2 linked regions of the Macaca mulatta genome follow. The protein of the gene in region 1 purifies or fractionates together with the protein of each later gene. This does not show direct contact. Links are inferred from orthologs where the notes say so. Each region holds a gene or a part of one and is shown in the gene's direction. Other genes may lie near its edges.

Region 1 (4,433 bases):
CCCTGTCTTTTCTGTTCAATCTCAGGGTAACCTTCTCCCTTGTCATCTCAGCCTGAGCCCTGGAGGCTGGGCCTGCCCACTCCAGCTCGATCCCTTATTTATTCCTTCCAGCAGGGCCCTCTTCCTTAGGTTCGGGGCCAGCAGGAGGTGCCGGCTGGAGTCTCCACCATAGACTCAGTGGCCTGGCCTCCCCAGACCCCAGAGCCAAGAACACTAAGCACTCGCCGGCCCTTCGGCACCTTCGCCCTCCCTCCCAACTCAACCCGGCCGTTGCTTCTGTATATAGAGAAATAAGTTATTGGCCGCGCCCCACCCTTCAGTCCACGGTACTACCCGGGCCTCCCCTCGTCCCTCCTCTAGTGGTACCGCCCAGGCCTTAATCACCCCCATTCCGTGCGGTGGTATCTCCCAGGCTCCACATTCTCGGGAGTGGCGCCTCCTAAGTGGCTCCCGGGACCTTCTCGCGCTCCTCCTGGCCTCTGAGGGATGCGTCCTACCCCGCCATCGCCCCGTGCCCCAGGACGGGGACCTCCCCTTAGTCAGTCCTCCCACCGCCGGGCCCTGCCCCGCATCCCGGCCTTATGCACTGCCCCTCCCGCCCGGCCCCGCCCAGGCACGGCCCGACCCCGCCCCGGGCACCGCCCACCGAGCCATCCTGCCACGCCTCTCCCCACGCCTGCAGCTTCTCGCGAGGGGCGGCGACGGTCCCTTGGTGGCAGGAGGGGCTCCCCCTGTTGCGGGTGAGGCGGCTGCTCTCTATTTTCAGATGTTGCTGTAGAAATAAAGACGGTTTGAATCTGAGCCGGGCTTGTTTTGAGGCGGAGGTCGGGGTGCCCCCGCGTCTCTAAACGGGTGGAGCCGGGAAGGGTCGCGCGTGAGTGGGGGACAGTGTGTCTCGCTCAACCGCTGTCCGCGCAGCTGGGCCCAGATATTCTGGCCCACCCCGGAACTGGGTGGGGGCCCCACAAGTCAGGCTTTCCCTAAAACGTTCACTTGTGGGGTTCTGGAGACCGCGGGCTCTTACGAGCTCTGCTCTTCACAAAGTTTTTGACTTTGAGTGAGTTTCCCGATACTCAGTTTTTTCATCTATGAAATGCGGGTGATGACACGCGGCTGCGAGTTAGGAGTGCCCAGTACACGAGGAACCCTGGACAAGTGAGCTTTTACTAGTCTTGCTAGATCCCACATTCTCATTTAATGTTCACAACGTGGGTATTGGGAGGGTAAGGATGACTGTCTCCGTCAGACAGATGTGAAACGTGCCAAGCCCAGCTCTAAACTGAGCTTTTTAAACACCGAGACGCCGTCAGGCTTTCCAGCATCGTGCTCAAGCCTAGGTGCGTCCGGCGTGCAAACTACAAGCCCCAGAAGGCAATGCGCCAGTAGTGATGGGAGTGGGCGCGGAGGCACGGGCTCCCCGACTACGCCTGCGCAGCGGGGCTGAGTTGGAGAACGTCTCAGACTACAAGTTCCGAGAACCAGCGCGGCGAGGCCTGAGAAGAGGACGTTTGCGCCTGCGCGTCGCGGGCGGGGCCTCTGGGGCGGAGCGGCCACCATCTTGGAACGGGAGGCGGAGCAGAGCCGACTGGGAGCGACCGAGCGGGCCGCCGCCGCCGCCATGAACCCCGAATAGTGAGTGAGCCCCGCCCGCGCCGTCCAGCGCAGCCTCGATCCCGAATACGGGGCTGTACGCTTACCGGGGTTGTCTGGCCCGGGTCAGGACTGTGCGGCGCCCCCACATCCGGGTCCCTCTTCCGCTGACCCCCCCCCCTCACATCCGGGTTCTGCCCCTCCCCCCAGGGGCCCCAGGACCCCGGCTCAACACCCCGAGCTCTCACACCCGGGGCCCAGACGTGGCGACCCCGAGGGGCAGCTCTTGGAGCCCGAGACACCGGCCCTACCAGGCCTTATCGGTCAGATGACCCCGCAGTCCCGGTCACTTCAGGCCTCAGTTTCCCCACCTGCTGCTTGACAACTGTCCTGGAGTTTGGGAGCCCGTCTTTAGATAGTTTCTGGTCTCGGGTTCAGGCTCGGGCCCTTTAGGTCGGGCAGTGAATCCCTCTACCCTTCTCTTTCTCCTGAAGCCCGGCTCCTGGGGCCGGCCCAGAAACTGGCCAACTAAGCGGGAGGCCCCGAAGCGCCGCTTGAGTCCCGTCTCCCGCAGGTCCTCTCTTCCGGGGCTGCCTCCTACCCTTTGCCTGGGTTACGCTGACCTGTCGCTCCCGACGGTCCGTCCTTTCCCGCCCTCTCCTCGCTTTTGCTCAGGCCCCCAACGCCACCGTCGCACCCCTTCCCTTGGCTGTCACACTGCTTGTGAAGTTTAGATGAATATGGAATTTGCTCTCCCCCTTCCAGCGGGATTCTCTGGTCCTCAAACTCTCCTCACTCTTGGTCACTCCCTCTGCGGGTAGGTGGCCCACATCTCATGCCCAGGACTAATAGTTTTCCCCAAGTATCAGTTATCTTCTTCCTCTTCTGCCACTTCCTTTTTCTCCTCCACATCCAGGTCTCAGATTTCCTTGGGGAAGGGTGAAGCTCTGAGCTGGATTGGGAGGGGAACAGAGAAGGGAACCAGCAGGCTCTCGCAGGGACTTTGGAGTCTGACAAACCTGGTTTGAGTCTTAAAGCGAAAAACTGTGTAAGTTAGGGCAAGTCACTTCCCTTCTCTGGCCTCTGGTTTCCTCATTAGTTGACAATGATAAAACTGACTTCATTGGACTGTTGTGAAGATTAAATGAGATGATGCATTTGAAGTACTTCACACAGGGAACTCAACTGTGTGACTTCACACAGTCACAAGTTGGAACTTAATATTATTAAATGTGATTACCTTTTACCTTTTTTTTTTTTTTTTTTTTTTTGAGACAGGGTCTCTCTCTGTCACCCAGGCTGGAGTACAGTGGCACGATCATGGCTCACTGCAGTCTCCAACTCTTGGGCTCAAGCATTCCTCCTGCCTTGTCCTCCTGAGTAGCTGAGAATACAGAGGTACACCACCACATCTGGCACATTTTTAAATTTTTTGTAAAGACAGGGTCTCCATCTGTTTCCCAGCCTGGTCTCAAATTCTTGGGCTCAAATGATCCTTGTGCTCGGGCTCCCAAAATGTTGGGATTACAGGTGTCAGCCACTGCACCCAGCCTTAAGTGCAATTTTCATTGCAACTTGACCACCTCTTCCTGGTGACTTCATAACAGGTTTTTTGTTGTTGTTTCCAAAGAGATGGGGTGGACTGGGCGCGGTGGCTTACGCCTGTAATCCCAGCAATTTGGGAGGCTGAGGCGGGTGGATCACGAGGTCAGAAGATCGAGACCATCCTGGCCAACATGATGAAACCCCATCTCTACTAAAAATACAAAAATTAGCCAAGTGTCATGGCACGTGCCTGTAATCCCAGCTACTCTGGAGGCTGAGGCGGGAGAATCACTTGAACCCGGGAGTTGGAGGTTGCAGTGAGCCGAGATCGTGCCACTGCACTCCAGCCTGGTGACAGAGTGAGACTCCATTTCAAAAAAAAGAGAGATGGCCGGGCGCGGTGGCTCAAGCCTGTAATCCCAGCACTTTGGGAGGCCGAGGCGGGCGGATCTCGAGGTCAGGAGATCGAGACCATCCTGGCTAACACGGTGAAACCCCGTCTCTACTAAAAATACAAAAAACTAGCCGGGCGCGGTGGCGGGCGCCTGTAGTCCCAGCTACTCGGGAGGCTGAGGCAGGAGAATGGCGTAAACCCGGGAGGCGGAGCTTGCAGTGAGCTGAGATCCGGCCACTGCACTCCAGCCTGGGTGACAGAGCAAGACTCCGTCTCAAAAAAAAAAAAAGAGAGAGACAGGGTCGTGCTACATCACCCAGGCTGGTCATGTACTCCTGGGCTCCAGGGATCCTCCTCCTGCTTCACCCTCCCCAGTAGCTGGGACCACAGGCACACCCCACAGCACCCGGCCATCAGTCTCTTTACATGGGTTTTTCACTTAACAAGTTCTAGACTGTGCCCTGGGTTCTACTTCTGGGGCCTCCCCTGCCAAGCCAGGCATACCACAGGTCATGTACTGGGGATTCCCTAAATAGCCCCTACTGTACCAAACCATGAAGTCTCAGAAATCAGGGTAGGATACCCAGCTCTGTCGCCTTGGCAGGTCACGTCCCTCTCTGTGTCTTGATTTCTTTCTCCATAAAGTGAGAATTTAGACTCAGCAAGCTGAGAGCCCTTTGGGCTAGCTTTTTCTGGAGGGGGGCATCAGCCCTCCCTGACCGGGACTGGTGGGAAGATCTGGTGAGCACCATAGTATTCTAAACCAAAGGATGACCAGGCTCACCCCTGTAATCCCAGCACTTTTAGAGGCCAAGGCAGGTGAATCGATTGAACTCAGGAGTTTGAGACCAGCCTGGGCAACATAGTGAGACCCCGTCTCTACAAAACATAAAAAGAGTAGCCA
Region 2 (2,495 bases), on another chromosome or scaffold:
TGAGCCGAGATCATACCACTGCACTCCAGCCTGGGCGATAGAGTAAGACTCCATCTCAAAAAACAACAACAACAAAGAAAACTTGAGCCTTTGGCAGGGGCTCCACTGGATCCTCAAGACATCCCCAAGTGTCCAAGCCAGGAAAGCCCTTAGAGTCCATCCAGGCCAATCCCCTCTTCATCCTGGTGGGGAAACTGAGGCTAAAAAGGGTGGAGAGGTTAACCTAAGGTCACAGGACAGCTGGGCTGGGAGTGGGGGTGCCTGCCCTGCTGAGATGGAGAGTTTTGTGCTGCGTTGGTGCAGAACCTCCTCCCGCCACCTTCCTTAGATCTGATGGGTATGTTTGAGAAACGGCGCTTCCGCAAGTTCCTGGTGTTTGTGGCAAACTTCGATGAGAATGACCCCAAGACCTTTGAGGGTGTTGACCCCCAGACTACCAGCATGCGTGATGTCTACCGGAAGTTTGATCTGGGCCAGGATGTCATCGATTTCACTGGCCACGCCCTGGCACTCTACCGCACTGATGAGTGAGGGGAAGCTGGTGTGGCGGCAGCCCCCTCGCCCGGCCCACCTCCTGCCCTCCCCACACCTGCCTGTTGTCCCCCTGCCCTGCATGTTCCTTGTACTCAGCCATAGGCTCACCTATCACCCTTTCCATTTCCCCCTTGCATTTGATCCTCATCTTCCCCAGGCCATTCAGGGTGGTGGGAAGACTGGCCTGGTACCTGGTACCTGGGTGGGGGTAAGTCAGGGGTGCTGCTACTGGAGCGTCTTCCCTAACCCCTGTCCCCCAGCTACCTGGACCAGCCCTGTCTTGAGACCATCAACCGCATCAAGTTGTACAGTGAGTCCCTGGCCCGGTATGGCAAGAGCCCATATTTATACCCGCTCTACGGCCTGGGCGAGCTGCCCCAGGGTTTTGCAAGGTGAGGACGTGGGTTTTTTCAGTTGGCATGGCTGAGTAGGACTAGGGCCAGGAGTGGAGATGGCCCCCTTGAGCATTTCCCTGGTAGCATTTCCTCCTTTCCAATTCGTGATTTTCATTTACTTCACTCCATCCTTGGGTGATGAGGGCACAACCCCAGTGCACTGAAGTACAGAAGTCTCCACACTTGCCGGGCGCGGTGGCTCACGCCTGTAATCCCAGCACTTTGGGAGGCCGAGGCGGGCGGATCACAAGGTCAGGAGATCGAGACCACGGTGAAACCCCGTCTCTACTAAAAATACAAAAAATTAGCCGGGCGCGGTTGTGGGTGCCTGTAGTCCCAGCTACTCGGGAGGCTGAGGCAGGAGAATGGCGTGAACCCGGGAGGCGGAGCTTGCAGTGAGCCGAGATCGCGCCACTGCACTCCAGCCTGGGCGACAGAGCGAGACTCCGTCTCAAAAAAAAAAAAAAAAAAAGAAGTCTCCACACTTGAAGAACCAAGTTTCCACAAATGTGACTTGCTCAGTTCCCGGCAGCACCAGGACTGGGCCCAGGGCCCCAGAACCTTGAGTCAGGGCTTCGCTGGGAGGTGACCTATCTTGAGAGAGTCCATCCTGGTCCTTCAGGCTGTCTTGGTGCAGAGCACTGCTCCCTCATGCCCCCTTCTGCTGGTCCTTGGCAGTGTATTCTGGGCAGAAGAAGCTCCTGAGAGGAAAGAGCCCGCTGAGATGGGGCCAGAGTTCACGGCAGTGACACAGCTGGGATGAATCCCGGCGTCTCCTGCCTGCTGCCTTTTTTGCACCTTGGTGGAGGAAGGGTGACAGTGGAATTGGTCCCCGTTTCTCCTGGGAGGGGCCTTCACCAGGGCTGTTCTCACCACAGATTGAGTGCCATCTATGGGGGGACGTATATGCTGAACAAACCTGTGGATGACATCATCATGGAGAATGGCAAGGTGGTGGGCGTGAAATCTGAGGGAGAGGTGAGCCTTTCTGGTGCAGTGCAGTCACCATGGTTGAGGCAGGGCTTGGTCATCTTCTTTTCACTGTGCTGCCGGGTCTCCTGCTGCACAGCCCCGAGGGTCTTGGAGCTGGGAACTGGGCGTTCAGAAGTCTTCAGAGCCATGAATGTGGGTGAGGGGCTATTTCAGAGGCCACACGCCATGTCTGTAGTGCAGAAAGTGTACTTGATCACGGGGCATCTGGGAGGCGGGGGCGGGCACCCAGCCTATGGGTCAGGGCCCACCTCTGTGAGCTGCAGGGCAGGGCCATGCATTCAGGAGGGGCAGTAGTGATGGCTCCGAGGAGTGCCTTGTCTGCCAGAGCTGCCTGCCTTTGCTGTGAACACAGCCCCAAGACTACCTAAGGGAGTGATCTGACGGGCGAGGATTTCTGGTGCCTTCTCAGGTGGCCCGCTGCAAGCAGCTGATCTGTGACCCCAGCTACATCCCGGACCGTGTGCGGAAGGCTGGCCAGGTTATCCGCATTATCTGTATCCTTAGCCACCCCATCAAGAACACCAACGATGCCAACTCCTGCCAAATAATCATCCCCCAGAACCAGGTCAACAG

The links.
Region 2: the proteins of RAB1B (region 1) and GDI1 purify together in Homo sapiens (affinity purification with mass spectrometry; 3 studies listed by BioGRID and IntAct, counting the BioPlex papers as one, with this or other methods). This does not show direct contact. The link is inferred for Macaca mulatta from reciprocal best matches to the Homo sapiens genes RAB1B and GDI1.

What each region holds. Positions count from the first base shown.
Region 1 is NC_133419.1:8,145,412-8,149,844, reverse strand, and holds the start of RAB1B (ras-related protein Rab-1B), read left to right. Parts: upstream 1-1,524; 5' UTR 1,525-1,618; coding exon 1,619-1,632; exon of another isoform or gene 1,633-2,481; intron 2,482-3,472; exon of another isoform or gene 3,473-4,433. UniProt on the Homo sapiens protein: The small GTPases Rab are key regulators of intracellular membrane trafficking, from the formation of transport vesicles to their fusion with membranes.
Region 2 is NC_133426.1:160,623,112-160,625,606, forward strand, and holds part of GDI1 (rab GDP dissociation inhibitor alpha), read left to right. Parts: intron 1-328; coding exon 329-527; intron 528-794; coding exon 795-926; intron 927-1,807; coding exon 1,808-1,907; intron 1,908-2,331; coding exon 2,332-2,495. UniProt on the Homo sapiens protein: Regulates the GDP/GTP exchange reaction of most Rab proteins by inhibiting the dissociation of GDP from them, and the subsequent binding of GTP to them. Promotes the dissociation of GDP-bound Rab proteins from the membrane and inhibits their activation.